Lepisosteus oculatus: one gene and its partner. The protein of the gene in region 2 interacts with the protein of the main gene of each other region in a biochemical or structural test. Links are inferred from orthologs where the notes say so. Each region holds a gene or a part of one and is shown on either strand. Other genes may lie near its edges.

Region 1 (7,630 bases), on a different chromosome or scaffold from region 2:
CTGGATGCTGTTCTTTCTGAAACGGTTTAGTGCTGTTTTCTTATATTGGTCTGAACATATTTTGTAAATCATGTGTGCCATTACCCCCTATGTCCTACGATTCACTTCCTCTACGTATGAACCTGTTCTGGGCTTCAAGCAGGATATCTTTAAACTGCTGCAGTCTGCCGATATCTATCCAATCCCATTCTGCTTCATTCTTCTCTGCTTTTCCGCGATAGGTAACCTTTGTTTTGAACACGTTTGTACAGCTTTAAAATATACTTTAAAGCACAAAATACGATGACCACATTTTCATGATGGTTCTCCCATCTGTGATGATCCTTCAAAGTCAGGATCAATACAGGTGTTCCCTCCTGTAGGCATTCTGACACACTGAGAAAGTGGCCATTAGCCACGTCTCGCATTTCAGTGTCCAGTGTTGATATCCTCAGTGCTTCTTCTCCATCTACAATAGAAAATTAAAATCGTACAAGATTCACACTTACGCTTCCTCCTTTACGCTAACATTCCTGATTTCGTGATACTGAGCATCAAAAGATGCATCGCGCACAACCGAAACAAGTCAGCATGTCTTTGTAGCAGGTACGCTGATTTTCATCCACAGGGCGGTCCGCAGGGAGTCCACTGCGTAAGGCTTTTGCACCAGGTGCAGACACGCCGTCGTGTCGAGACCCTCCGCCATGCCTGTCATAGAGGCTGCCTGTGTCCTCTTCTCCCCCTCCTTCACGTGCTGAGCAGCTCAGGCCAGCGAGAGCGGCAGCCGCCCGAGCAGCTTGAGCAGGAGGCCCGCTGTCAGGCCAGGACGAGCCCGTGCTCTCAAGACGCCACCTGTCCCTACAAGAGGGGAAGCAGCTGAGAGCTCCTGCCACACCGTCACACCTGCGCTCTGCATGGCTGTGTCACGGCCACACAGAATCAGAGACCCTTCCCATCCCCACACACGCCGTCACATCGACTGATCATCCAATCACACCTGTCAGTCACCTCCACACCCCCTGGGCTCGTGACCATCACCACGGTTTACCAGTGGAGCTCCTGGTTCTCGTCCTCGACACTTCCTGACTGCTGTTAACCTTCTGAACCTCCGGCTTCGTCCAAGACTACGATTCCTGGTCCTGAGACTTGGTTAAGTACACCTGGCCTCCCCTAATCCTGTTCCTTCCTTGTTGTCCAGTTCCGCATAGGGTCCAATTCTACCTTTGTTTTGGCCTGCTATCCGTAACACTCTGCACTCAACGACGGCTCGCCCGCCCGAGAGCCCACCTGCTTTCTGCTGTGAGCACTGGACTCTGGTGTGGTTATCTTGCCGGCAAACAATCTTAATGAAAAATCCTGGTGACCATAAATATATGTAAAAGAAATGGCTGTTTGTGAACACATCACACAGCATGTGACAGTGTGCCGACTTCCAGCCTCAACACACCAGCGGCATAAAGGCACTGCTCTCGTAAGAGGTGGGGCAGCTGTAAGTCCTTTCTGCGTTGTGATCAAGTGTTTCATGCAGTAGTACACAGTCTGAATCAGTGGTTCTCTCACCAGAATCCTAACCCAGCAGAAAAAAGGGCCGAACAATGGTTTGCTCTTCAGATGTACACTAATTCAGTGAATGTGTTTGAGCCATAAATCGGTATAGAAAAGAACTATCAAGGCAAAAGTGTGAATTTGTTGTAATTTTGGAAAGGCTGAATGAGGCTTTTCATGATTTCACACCTGGAATGTCCTGATGTACAAACCATGATCAACGCAGTAGAGAGCACAGGAGAAGAAATAGGGTGTTCCTAGGGTTAGGGTTCAAATTTCTAGAAAAGCTTGAACAAAAAGAAGATGATCTTTTTCTTTAAATGGGCCAAGTTAATCAAGTTTCAATGTCTTTAAGGACACAACTGGAAAAGTTTGATAAAGTGTTTTGTGGTAGTAGCACAAAGACTTATACAGTACCCAATGGCACTAACGGGAAATAGTCAAAGAAGTAAAAAATGTCCAGGGTGTGTGTAACTGTGTGTGTCCTGTGATGGACTGGTGTCCTGTCCAGGGTGTGTGTGTGTGTCCTGTGATGGACTGGTGTCCTGTCCAGGGTGTGTGTGTGTGTCCTGTGATGGACTGGTGTCCTGTCCAGAGTGTGTGTGTCCTGTGATGGACTGGCGTCCTGTCCAGGGTGTGTGTGTGTGTGTCCTGTGATGGACTGGTGTCATGTCCAGGGTGTGTGAGTGTGTGTGTCTGTGTGTGTCCTGTGATGGACTGGCGTCCTGTCCAGGGTGTGTGTGTGTGTGTCCTGCGATGGACTGTTGTACCCTGCTTTTTGCCTGTTGTTTGCTGGGATAGACTCCAGCTCCCCTGTGAGCCTGGACTGGAAGAAGTAGTTAGGAAATGGGAGGATGGATGAACAATTCATGTTGTTGTGACTGGTGTTTGGACGTCTGTCTGCGATGGTGGTATCCTGCTGGGGCTGGACAAGGGGACACAGCACCTGGTGTCCCTGATAACACAAGGACTGCGGGACGCGGGGGACACTCTCATCTGGGGGAGAGGATCCCTGCGGATCTCAGAGGCAGGATGAAGCACGGTGCCGCCGAGTGGGGATCTCCGCGGCGAGGGGCGCTGGGAGGGACTGTGGGCCCCTGAGCTCCGGCTCCGCAGGTCCAGAGCCGGGACAGGGAAACGACACGGACAACAGCAAGGGGTCGGCCTGGAGGGACTCTTTCACTGCGCGAATCCAGCCCCATCCTCCACTTGCACGGATTGACAACGGACAAGCACCTCACTCGGAAAGTTTTAATTTGTTGACAGTTTGATTATTAATGATCTATTGAGATCATTAATAACTGTAAAACTAATGGTTACGAATAGAGTTTCTCTTACCACACACACGAATTCTTACCAGGCTAAAGCGAGTGTTTTATGAAAGGTGATGGATAGCCTTTTATAAAATCCCATTTGGAACCTCTTATCTTCCGTTTCAGGGCAGTTCAGTTTGTCATATGCACAAGGGCATTGAATTGTTTGTGGATCCCCAGAGTACCCATGAAAAATATTTTTCAGCCGATAACGTTATCTTCCTCACCCTTTCCTCTGTTCAGCTCTGCCTCAGCCCTGTGATTCCTTCCTAGCACATTCAACAAGCCAGATAATCATTTTTCATTCACAGTGACGAGCTGGAGACCCAGCATGTACAGCATAGCATCTACTGGAGCAATTCCTGAGCGCCCTAGCTACTCACAGCAACGACAGCCGGCGTCCCAGCTACCACACCCAAGGTTCAGGGACCCTAACCTCCGCATTTCTGCCACACACATTTTGCAGTTGCATTTTCACCGTAGTTTGATATTTCACCGAAACAGGTTTGTAAAAGACGACTGTAACAGCGCGGCCCGGCGGACAGGCAAGGGGCCGCGCTCCCGACGCGCGGCCCCGACGGCCGGGCACGGGCACGGGCACGGGCCGTCCCGAGCGCGCCCCCCCCCCCCACGCCATTGGCGCCTGCGCAGTGGCGCGCGAGCTCGAGCTTTTGCCTCTCCGGCTGTTTGAACAGGAAGGCGGACATGTTTGTCAGAGAGGCAGGGAAAGTCGGGCACTTTTTGCAGTTCGAAAAATAACAACGACTCTCGGGAGCCGGATCGCCCTTTCTCGGAAGCCTCGGGATCCAGCATGCCGGCCCTGGCGACACCCCTGGGCCGCGGAGCTTGAGCGCTGTTCGGCGAGGTGACCCCCGGAGCGACATGTTTCATCGGGGCCGTGTTGTAAAACCGAGCACGGTTTTCAGGGGCTGAAGTTTTTTTTTTTACTACTTTTTTTTGTCCTCTCTCTCCTTCCCCCCCCCCTCCCCACCGCACCCCCCACCCACCAAGTCAGTTCTACTTTTGCAGCTGTCAGACACGCTCGGATTTAAAAAAACAAACAAGCAAGGCAGAAAACAACAGCCAAAGAAAAAGTTCTCGCTGCCTCCAGGGCCCCTCCGACCCAGCTGTGCCAGGCCGTGAGTGCGGTATCTTGTGTGAATCATGCTAACTGCCTCTTCTCATCCTGCTGCGGCTCTCGCTGTTTCTGGGGGGAGTGGGAGCGAAATGACCGTGCTCCGCGTCTGGAGGCTGTAGCCCTGAGGGCGAAACTCGGGGACCAGAGAGGGCGAGAGATCCGTTGCGGCGTGTTTTGATTTTATTTCATTTTATTATTATTATTATTTTTTAAAAGAAGTGAAGTTGTCAGCCCAGCTCGGAGCTCGGAGCAGCAGGAGAGCTGACCGGCTCAGACAGTTTTCTCTCTTAAGATGTGGCTTTGGACCCGCCGGGCACTGGCTGAAGGTTTCTCCGACTGTGAGCGGCTGGCTCGCCTCTTGAAGCGGGTCTGACCGGCTGCGGACCCGACCCGACCCGGCCCGACCCCAGGGAGGCAGGCTTTGCACGCCGTGCCCCAGAGGACAAGGGAGAGAGAGAGAGAGAAAAAAAAAAACCCAGAACTGACAGCAAAAATGTCCGCTGGAGAGAGCTTGGAGGCTCGGTTTGAAAAGATCGATGCCATGCTCAAGGATCCCAAATCGGAAGTTAATACCGATTGCCTGCTGGTGAGTGTCCGGGATGTGTGTGTGTGTGTCTTGTCTGTGTTGGGGTTTTCCCCCCTCTCTGTCTCTCTCGTTTCAAATGATACTGCAAAAAAAGTAGTAATAATAATAATGAATTGCACGGGTGTGTTCGGTTCTGTTTAGTGATCGCATTTTAATGAGCTCGCTGCCCAGTTGCCGGGGGGGGTGGGGGTGGGGGTTAGACATTAAAAACTCGACTGTGCGGAGTTAAAACCACGTAGCTCCTCCGTGTCACGCAATGGTGTGTGCGACTGAACAGCACTGGCGTTTTCTTCTCTGACATAACTTCTGTGTTATGCGTTTCTGGTGTTCACAGTCCTGCTCGCCGCTGAGACCCGATGTCTGGTGCTCGCCTGGAAATGTGCTTTTTTTTTACTGTTGTTGCACGACTTAGACACTTCAGAAGCGTCGGCTAACGTAGTCATTCACACTCCCACACAGGGGGAAAAAAAACCCCTCTCTCTCTGAGAGCATTTTAACCTACAAGCAAGCTGTGTGCAGTTCCTGTTGTCGGACTGAGATTCCCTAAGCTGGTGATAAATCGTCAATCGGAAATTATTTAAATAAAGAGAACCCCCCCCCCCAAAAAAAAAAACACCCCAGCACACTGTCATGCGGTAGGCGAGACCGTGTTTTGCCAGCCTGTTGCTCCTGTCACACGGACACCGTGGGCAGCTCACACTCACAGGGACGTGTCCAGCCGGGCCCTGCACGGCGAGAGCGCCACTCGGACCACGGGGACACGGGTGGCGGTGATCCAGTGGGCCCGGATACCGCTTTGCCCGTTACAGCATAGTTCAGTGCTGCTGCCTTGCGGGGTGACCGTCACCACCCGAGGCCCCGGCGCACAGCCGCCCCCGGCTGGAGTGGCTGGGCAGGGTGGCCGAGTCGGTGCTCCTTCCTGTACGACAGCTGAACCGCCGTTAAGTACGTGGTGGTGTTGGTTTTTTTGCAGTTACAGTTGAGCCGGGTCGTAACTTTGTTTGCCGCTCAATGCTTGTTTGACGGTAGCTGTCAAACGAGCCAGCGACTCACGAGTTAAGGGGGAACTTCTGTTGCTTGGAAAGTGATTTTTTTTAGGGGCCTGTTCAATATTAGGGTAGGGATAATTGTCATGAGCCAGTGGGCCGTTTTTTTCCCATTTTTCCTCACACCAGGGCCAGTTTTCCCAGAAGCCAGTTAACCCACAAGTGTGTTTCTGGACTGTGGGAGGAAACCCACACAAACACGGGGAGAACATGCAGACTCCACACAGACAGCACCCCGGGAACAGAACCCAGGGCCCCAGCCCTGCGAGTCCGCAGTGCTGGCCACCGGGCTGCCCGATTCCTGGTCCACTCATTGAGAACATTCCGGCCTGTTCTGTCCTCCGCTCAGTGAGGTGGGGCTGATGGGAAGATTGTCAGTGCCTCCTTTCCCCTTTGTCCTGCCTAAGTTCCAGTGTCTGTAATAGCGATTCACTTCTTAGACAGACTCTTCAAGCTTCCAGCGATATACTCATGGAAAATGGCATTTAAGCTGCACGTTGAGGGTGTGTGTCAGGTTTCATTAACAGATTCGTCTGGAAAGTTCCAGGATTGCCTGTCTGATCTCCCCCTTTTTTTTCCATCCTCGGTTTGGCCTAAAATATTCCAAAATCCTAATTCGCACGAGGGCAGTCCATGAGTTCTGAGAGCCCCGGCTAGTCGAATTCCTCGCGCTCACTCCTGAGTGAATCGGGGTTCGTCTTGCCGAAGGTGCGCGTGTGTGCGCGAGAGGCGTCATTCATGGGAGAAGCCATGCTCCAGAAGGAAAATCTCGGCGTCGGCTCCTACAAGAGCTGTCGGAGATGGTGTGAGCCGCCGAGCCCCGAGATGCAGAAGCAGAGCTGGGTGCGAGATTGTCGAAATGGCTCGTATGGCTAGGAAGTCAACAGAAACAGGATCTTTCTCATCCGCTCTGGTGGAGGTCCTGCAAATAACACTCGGCTGTGGAGGAGGATGGCGCTGGGGGGAAATTCAGATTTTTTTAATCTGTGGCAGCGAGTCCACTCTTCAGTTTTGAGTTCAAGCGGAACAGTCGACGCAGGTCCCCCCTTGTTGCATGTCAGCGTGCCAGCGTAATTATCGCGACACACGCACCCCAGCAGCATCAGCAGCTCTCCAGGGCTGAGGGCCTGTTGGGGGGCCCGCTGGCACCCCGATTAATCCCACACAGCGTTTTGTTATGCCATAAGTCATATCTGGTATTTGTTGTCTGAAAGCATTCCAGGATTCTCAATGTGTTGATTGCAGTGTACTGTTCGCATGACTTGATTTCATCTTTTAAAAGAGAGATCGTGATGATGTTTGCAGGCAGGATGTAAAGGTGACCTAATTTTGGGGGTGATCTTGGATTCTTGTCAGTTCTTCTCAGTTGACCAGTCGTATGTAGAAGCTTCCTGTTGGCCAGTCATTACCTTGTATTACTGTGTGTTATGTCTTCCCTGTAAGAAGCAAAAGGTGGCTTATAATCAGTCCTCAGATGTGGAGTTATTCTGTCTGTTACTCTTGGTGGCATTGGTACTTGTGTAACAAGCACCTGTGCACTCAGAGGGAGAAACAAGGGGTTTTGCTCAGTTTAGGGGTGCCTGAGATATTTGCTCACACTTTCCTGGGTAGTGTTCGCTCACTGCAGGAGATGCTGCCAAAAACCAATCCAGAGCTTCAACAAAGGGCTTGAATGCGAAGACTAGGGCTCCGTAATGAATCGGTGGTGTATTTCATGGCCTCTTTCCTTGTTTTATTCAGAAACAGCTGAAGGAGAAGCTCAAACATGTCTGCTTTTTTAAAAAGGGGGCTTTTCAGGGTCTCTGTAAGGCTCTTACATCCTGCCTTTCAGTATAAACCTCTGAATCTTCAAGGTAGAGGGATTTTTGCAGAATTCTGTCTGATTTTGCGAGAGGCGTGACGTGCCCTTTCCAATGGTTATACATGTAGGAATGAAACACCATCCCTTCAGTACTCCTTTCAGAGGGCAGTTCTGAAATCACAAAGAAACTGTCAGTATTTGATTGAAAGCCGCCAGCATCTT
Region 2 (7,630 bases):
GTGTGAGAGAATGATTTCAAAACTTTAGCCCTGCAACTTTTTATAAAACCAGTTCCAAAAGTTGTAAAGCAAATGTGGAAATGAGAGAGCTATGTGAAATTGTAGCTCAGTTCTGTTTAGAAATTAATGTTGAGGGAAAGATTTGAAGGTTGTCTCTCAAAAGTCTATATTACGGTTCACAAACGTTGTAGCTAATTGTTGCAACTCTTTGAAATATGAGCACAGTTCACCTGATTTAGATGAAGAAGTGCAATGTCTTCAGTTCTGTTATACTGTATGATTATTGGTTTGTTTGTTTTTTTAATGGATCTGGTAAATTATATTAACGAATGATGATTAATGCATAACATTGTGTAGTGTTACATTTGTTGCCAGCCACATAAATAGACTTGATTTTAGAAAAAATCAGAAGCATTCAGTTCAGTTTAATTATTCCATTTAGACTGTCTTAATTTTTACATCTCTTCTGTATGCCATATCTGAGATTCTAAATAAAGGTATTTTTGAAAATGTTCTTTCAATGTCTTTGTTTAAAATATGTAAAGCAAAAGGGTAGAAATTACAGTGATGCCTGTAATTAAAATTGAAGAGGGGAAGCAGAAAAATAACTTTAGATTTAAAGTTTGCTTAAGTACCCTTTTGGATTATTTGATTAAATAAACCCTCAAGAATCAATTCACAAGAGTTAATCTATTAACAATTTATGTTATTACTACAAATTATAAACTGTCCAAGTTAAGATTAACACTGAAACATTATTTGTCAATGAATTGACATTGACAAAGGTACCAGATATTTTTGGTACTTTAGTTTGTTTTCCCATTTCCATGTTGAAAATCCTATGTGAGAACCTTACTTCTGTTATGGAAAAACAAAACATTCATCCAAAACACCTTGTCTCAACAGTACCAAACAGGACCACGCTGTTTTTTAAAAACAAAATGGCTTTGTAAATAGTGCTTGTGGGCAGCACATATTTTAGATGTGCTCAAGGTGTACATATTACAGTGTCTGTACCATAATTTTTGAAACTGCTGTTTACGAATTATAGAATTATCTCTGGCTTACTTCAGCCTCATTGAATTTACCTGCATAGATGTTCTGAAAACAGTTCATAGCGTTTAGTCAGTAGAGGTAAGAAGAGATAGCACTGACAAAAACCTATTCTACTCATATCTATAATGCAATTTTTTTTGTTGAAACTTAAAAGCACTGTATCGGAGCTCGCTTAATACCCTTACCAGCAGGAAACTGAGAAAATCAGAGCAAACTGAATCAACTAAAACCAAGAGTGAAACTAAATTGCACATTGTGTACAGTGAAAAGAGAGGTTTTAAAGCACATTTTAAATATGCAGAGCTGCAAATTCCCTAATGGATTTGAGTAGGCAGGGCACTGCACACAAGAAGACCCTGTTGACCCTTGAGCAAAAAGAACTGAATCAGCAGACCACAGATTAAGAGTTTATCTGCTCTCGTGCAACAAGTTCTTAAGATAACCTAGATCCAGAACATTCAGTGTCTTATAAATATGTATACAAAAGACATTCAGCATGAGATCGATATTTTTTGTTTTGTGCTAGCAATGAATAACTCATCTGCCCCTTTTTTTTAAATGAAGAAGAAGCTGTAGTAAACAGTTCAATAATGAAATTTGCCCTTTCAATGTATTGAACTTAATACTTGTACCACTTAAATCCACAGAAATCACACATAAAGGAATTTTGTGATTGTGAAAGGGTTTACCTGCAAAATGTTGGCATAACCATCTTAAATATGATGGGGAATCTGAAGGTTTTTACTGAGCATCAACGAAGCTTCCCAAAAACAATTGTGCAATGATAGTATGTTATTTGAAAAATAAAAATATATGGATTTTGGATATTAAATGTCTTTGTTTCAATTTTTTTAATTGATCATTCGTGACTGACCACTAAATTTTCTTTGGTGCATCAACACTAAATCGTGTGCAAGCGATGAGGTGATTTAACCTGGTGAATGTCAGATCTATCTATAATGAAGACATTATCAAGAGAACAATGCCTTTATAGCTTGTGAATACCAAAGGCCAAACAAAGTCTGAGGTGTTCACAGGAACACTGGACTGCAGTTTCTAACCTAGTTAGACTTTATAGCCAAACTCGTTAAAGATGGACCATGATCTTGGAGACCATGAGTCGTAACACCTCACCATAATCAATGGGGTCCCAGTGTGATGGTCTGGGCAGGAGTGTCCTGTCGCTACACAACTGCAGTTTTAGTGAATGCCATTAACCAGAGTGCACAGTGCTGCTCGGATCTCGTCTTGGGACATCCCATTCTGTGACCTCTTCCAGAACATGACAACCGTCCGGCGCAACAACACCTACCCTCGTGCTGCTCGGGGAACAGCAGCTTTTTCTAAAAGGTAAGAGTGGGGCAGTTATGTGGCAGTGGATGCCCTACTGCCCGGTCTCGAGCTCCACTGCCAAGAGCTGGGATGACGTGTGGCATTTAGGGTAGACTGGCCCGTGAACAGGCACTTGTTTGTCCAAGCTGTAGGAGAGGAATCTGCCACAGAATCCCACAAGGCAGCATCTGCAGCCGATACAAAGCGTGAACCAGGACTGATTCACATGTGTTGCTAGCCTAAACTTTCACAGGAAAGCCCTGTTCATACGCGGGAGTTTCATAAACTAATGTCTTGTAATAAAATGTTGAGTGCACCCGCTGCAAAAAAAAAAAAAAGATTTCCATTTTTGTGATAAATTTGTGAATTTGTTGCAGGTACACAAGGCAGGCTTCTTTTCATGCTCAGCATAATTAAATTGTGAAATCAACTAGATGTCAGTGTTGCTCTAAGAAAGCAAAAGTGGGCCTCATTAATTTCAGTTAAGGCATCCAAATAATCTCCAAACGACGTTAAAATGATAAATGTATTATTTGACACTTCTACTCTGCTAAGATTGATCTAATTGCAGATATAGGTATAAATCTGACTTTTCTTTTCAGCTTTTTAGTTTTCTAATCAAGAGGACAACAAAACGAACTAAAAAGGCTTAAGAGAGATTTGTGCGCTGAGAGCTACTCAACGCGCATTAAATGATATCAAAGGACAACAGCAACGTCCTCGATGCACAGTTTTAGCATTAAGTATTGTTTTTAACAGATGTCTCGGGTGGGTAGATTTGATAGCGAGACGCACATAAATCACAAAGATAAGCCCTTTAATCTGCTTCACCTGTTTGACTTTCACCTGTACGGAATAAAACACCAACATACGCCACTATGGCATTTTAAAAATGCGTCCGTAAATATTTTCACATTCACATTTTTGGGGGGTGGGTAACGTAACTGCACATCACAGGCGAAGGGTGAGGGTTTCATGATCGGCGGGCACCTCGATAGGTTTTCCCACGCCAATGATGAACTAATGCGGACGGCATTAAAGAAGCTATTCCGATGTGCTGCTGCTTGCGTGTCCCTGTCGGCAGACGGGTCTGACTGCAGCCCATTGAGTGACTGGAGAGGACTTTTTTTTTTTGGCTAAACTCCTGCCCCAGGTGTTGCTGTTTGATCCCTACCGGTCTCCGTACTGGAATTTCAAGTGCATGACGTCACTCCCGCTGCCAACAAGAAAGTTCGCAAGTCCTGGGCAGAACTTTTTTTTTCCCTCCCTTAGAGAAAGAGGGGGGATTTAACTCCAAATTCGCGGTGTCTCAACTACGGCTAAATAAAGTCTTACGTAACGCTCTCCTGTGTGCCTTTTTCTAATGATAAGCGTACGGCCAGCCCCAGGGAACCATGGTAATATAGGCAAAAGCAAAGTCAACGAGCAAGGTTTAGATGGAGGATCGGCAAGGTAAGTAGCTCATTTGAACTCACTTAGCAAAAGGGTTTATGATGCGACAAAGTTTACATTCTTATCTTTGCGGCATTTGCCAGTAAATCCTAGTTAAATTCGCAATATATATATATAATCTTCACTGTTGCCCCGTTTATAGTGGAGTTAAAGTTAGGGGGGAGCATTTTCAAATTCCAGTATTAGCGAACCTGTTGTAACCTGAATACCAGCCTGCGAACACGCAACTTTCAGGTTTGGTGAGAGCTCCTCCGGTCGCAATTATTGTGTTTAGTTTGGGTTTCTTTCATGTTTTTAATCCAGCAGCCCGAGTGAGGCGATATGCTAAATGTGTTGAGCACCAAAGCTCGGGAAAGTGAAATGTGTGTGTGTACATATATATGTGTGAATTTCTTTCAATACACCGCTGAACCCTTTCCCCTTGAAGGTTTGTATTGATTCCAGTCAAAAGTTTAACACTTAAATGCACACTTCTGTGTCTAGGTTATGAACAGCTGGTGGTTCATTTTTTTAGGAAGGTGTGAAATATTCTGGAAGTGTTGGTGCGCACATTTTAAAAGGCGACGACTGCTTCTCCCCAGCCTGCGGGAAAAAGTCACAGCTCAGTCTGCAGTCGCTCAATTTTGATCCCTGTGCGTGTATAAATTAGCTGGTATTTCATAGCTTTTCTGTCTAAAAATAACTTGGACAAAAAAAGTCCCCCTAACTCAAACCATACTTCGGCTATGATCGTTTGGACACAGATCAATCCCGTAGGGTTACATAATGACACTTTAATGGCTCCTTTTAAAGCTGTTTTGCTTTTCTATTCAGACTGTTTTATCTAAATAAATACCTTTTAATTTTGTAAAAGTGCAAAAAAAACTGTTACAATTATTAAAAAATGCAGGGTTTTTTTTAAGGAGCTCCTTTTAAGTTCCAAAATCAAGTAGCGCAGTAAATCGCTGATTTATGCTGCGCTAAAAGGTCGGGGAGGACGGTTGCTTTTGTTACGAGTTCTTAAAGAAAACCAGTCGCTGCTGTGGTGCAAGTGGATGTTTGTGCCGTCCAAATGCGATGTTTTTTTTTTCTCACGCCTCACGACACTGTCTGGTCCTCAGGTGACGAGTCTTACCGTTGTGTGGGGTGTGGAAGCAGGATTCTGGACACTTTCTACATCAAAGTTCTCCAAGACGTTTGGCACAACTCCTGCTTTCAGTAAGTGCAAGAAGCTGCTGTGCGCAATTGTGACTGATGTTAAAATGCGCCTGGCTTAAAACTCACTGTTTGTCCTGTGCAACTGCAGTCTTCATTTGATTTCACTTTGACCAGTGGTTCAGAGATGCACCTTGACGTTTTGTTTTTGTTACATTATGAGCTGTAGCAAATAAAATAGTTTTTTTCCGATATCTACGGCTTTCGCAGTTTTTTTTTACTGATTTTTATTATTATTGTGGCAAACCTAGTCATTTTCTTTAGCCGGGCTAAAGCATGCACTGAGCTTTTTTTAGCGCTAGACAGCATATAAAGTCGAAATGTATTTGTACTTATTATATAGGTACAATATGTATTTAAACCGATACCTTTCTTCACACGCCTGTTTCAGTTTTTGAGTCTTTAGAGACTTCTCAGTGTCGTCTTACCGTCTCTTTCCTATGTTGACTTTAAAGCAGGTGAGCTGTCAGTGGTAATAATGAATAATAATTGCTTACACTTATATAGCGCTTTTCTGGACACTCCACTCAAAGCGCTTTACAGGTAATGGGGATCCCCTCCACCACCACCAATGTGCAGCATCCACCTGGATGATGCGACGGCAGCCATAGTGCAACAGTACGCTCACCACACATCAGCTATCAGTGGGGAGGAGAGCAGAGTAATGTAGCCAATTCATAGAAGGGGATTATTAGGAGGCCATGATTGGTAAAGGCCAATTGGAAATTTGGCCAGGACACCGGGGTTACACCCCTACTCTTTTCGAGAAACACCCTGGGATTTTTAATGACCACAGAGAGTCAGGACCTCGGTTTTACGTCTCATCCGAAGGACGGCACCTGTTTACAGTATAGTGTCCCCATCACTATACTGGGGCATTAGGACCCACATGGACCACAGTGTGAGCACCCCCTGCTGGCCCCACTAACACCTCTTCCAGCAGCAACCTTAGTTTTTCCCAGGAGGTCTCCCATCCAGGTACCGACCAGGCTCACACCTGCCTAGCTTCAGTGGGTTGCCAGTTGTGAGTTGCAGGGTGATATGGCTGCTGGCTGTATGCTGTAGTCATACATCTCCAGGGATTTGAATAGGAATTAACTTCTAGGATCTGTCAGTATTGTAGACAGGCATGTGATGCACGAATTTTAACTGTTCGTACTTCGGTGAATTCAGTGTTGTTAAGTCCTGGGATCTGTAGAGTGCATTTCATCACACAGGATACCAAAGCACTTCTAACTATAAGAGGGGATCTGCTTGAGTGATGTCTGGCACCAGAGTCCCCCATGCAATGAAGATCAGAAGGAGGAGGTAGTAAGTGTCCCACCAGCTGAATTATTGGGATATTTACTCAGATCGGATTGTGCTGTTGTAGAGTGGAATTTAGCCAGGACTACAGGTGATCAGTGCCATGGGATCTTAATTAATGACCCAGTCAGTTTGACATCTAAAGGGACACTGCTGTAGGAGCTGCTTTTACTTCACATCTCCTTACTGGGAGACTGATGTGGAAATTCGGATCCAGAGGGGAGTCACCCACTCTCATCCCGATACTGGCTGGACCCAGCCTCGCTCAGCTTCTGAGATCTGATGAGATCAGGCTACGAGGTGGTAACGCTGTTGCCTTTTATGAAACATTTCAGCAGTGTGACTTTATAAAATGAGAATTGTTGCGATCAGACGTTACACAAAGGGCTGTCACTATTGTGAGTGTGTTTTGCAGCGTCGAGTTCTTTGTGCTGACTAATTCTGAGCCTTCTTGTGTGCATGCCAGTATGGGTGGGGAGAAGCCTTTTGTTATAATTGAGTTTTATTTGAACAGCTCACAGATTGCATACTTAAGAAAATACTGTACATAGTTGTTACTGTAGCTGTAAAGAGTCACGTAAGCAGGTATCCCGTTCTTAAGATCCTATTGCACAGGGGAAGTGTTTTTTAATAAAATATACATTTTGCTTTGCATAAATCCTTCCAAAACTTTACTTACAATTTGTTTTCTTAGAAGAAAATCCATGGTGGTTTATAGTATAGAAGAATGACAATGTCTAAGTGCCAGGAACAATAGGGCAGTTGCAGTAACGTAATTTAATAAAACCGTATTGGGGCTGGAACACACTGCATGAGCAATCCAAGTTCCATGCAAACTTGATGAAATGATGTCAAAACAGTATGCAGGTAGTATGCATACAGGGTAATAATGTAAACACCCTGTAGGTATATATGCTTTGTTTGAAGTGAGTAATCGTAATTAGCAGGTTGCGGTACCAGTTTGGCCGTTCAAGACTTGAGTGCAGTCCAGTGGTGTTCAGGGAGAGCAGAGTGCTGCTTGAACAGGTGAGTCTCGAGCAGACTCTGAAAGGAGGTCAGGCCCTGGGCAGTTCTGCTCTCGGTTCATGGGATTACCTAGGAACAAGGGTGGAGAAGGAAGGAGCTCAGCAGGTAGGAGGGGAGTGGTGATACGGACAGGAGGAGTGGAGAGAGAGGGAGCAGGTATCGGCAGAGATAAGGGACTGAAGACAGGGCAGGAGCAGAATGGTTGATAGAGCTGAAAGTGAGAACTAATATTTGAATTGGTTGCCCACAGCAATAGAGAACCAGG

What was found.
Region 1: of the proteins of limk2 (region 2) and rock1, one has a biochemical effect on the other in vitro, tested with the Homo sapiens proteins (2 studies listed by BioGRID). The link is inferred for Lepisosteus oculatus from reciprocal best matches to the Homo sapiens genes LIMK2 and ROCK1.

What each region holds. Positions count from the first base shown.
Region 1 is NC_090701.1:57,292,862-57,300,491, reverse strand, and holds the start of rock1 (rho-associated protein kinase 1), read left to right. Parts: upstream 1-3,503; 5' UTR 3,504-4,468; coding exon 4,469-4,561; intron 4,562-7,630. UniProt on the Homo sapiens protein: Protein kinase which is a key regulator of the actin cytoskeleton and cell polarity.
Region 2 is NC_090717.1:6,599,896-6,607,525, forward strand, and holds the start of limk2 (LIM domain kinase 2), read left to right. Parts: upstream 1-3,362; 5' UTR 3,363-3,824; coding exon 3,825-3,840; intron 3,841-4,940; coding exon 4,941-5,037; intron 5,038-7,630. UniProt on the Homo sapiens protein: Serine/threonine-protein kinase that plays an essential role in the regulation of actin filament dynamics. Acts downstream of several Rho family GTPase signal transduction pathways.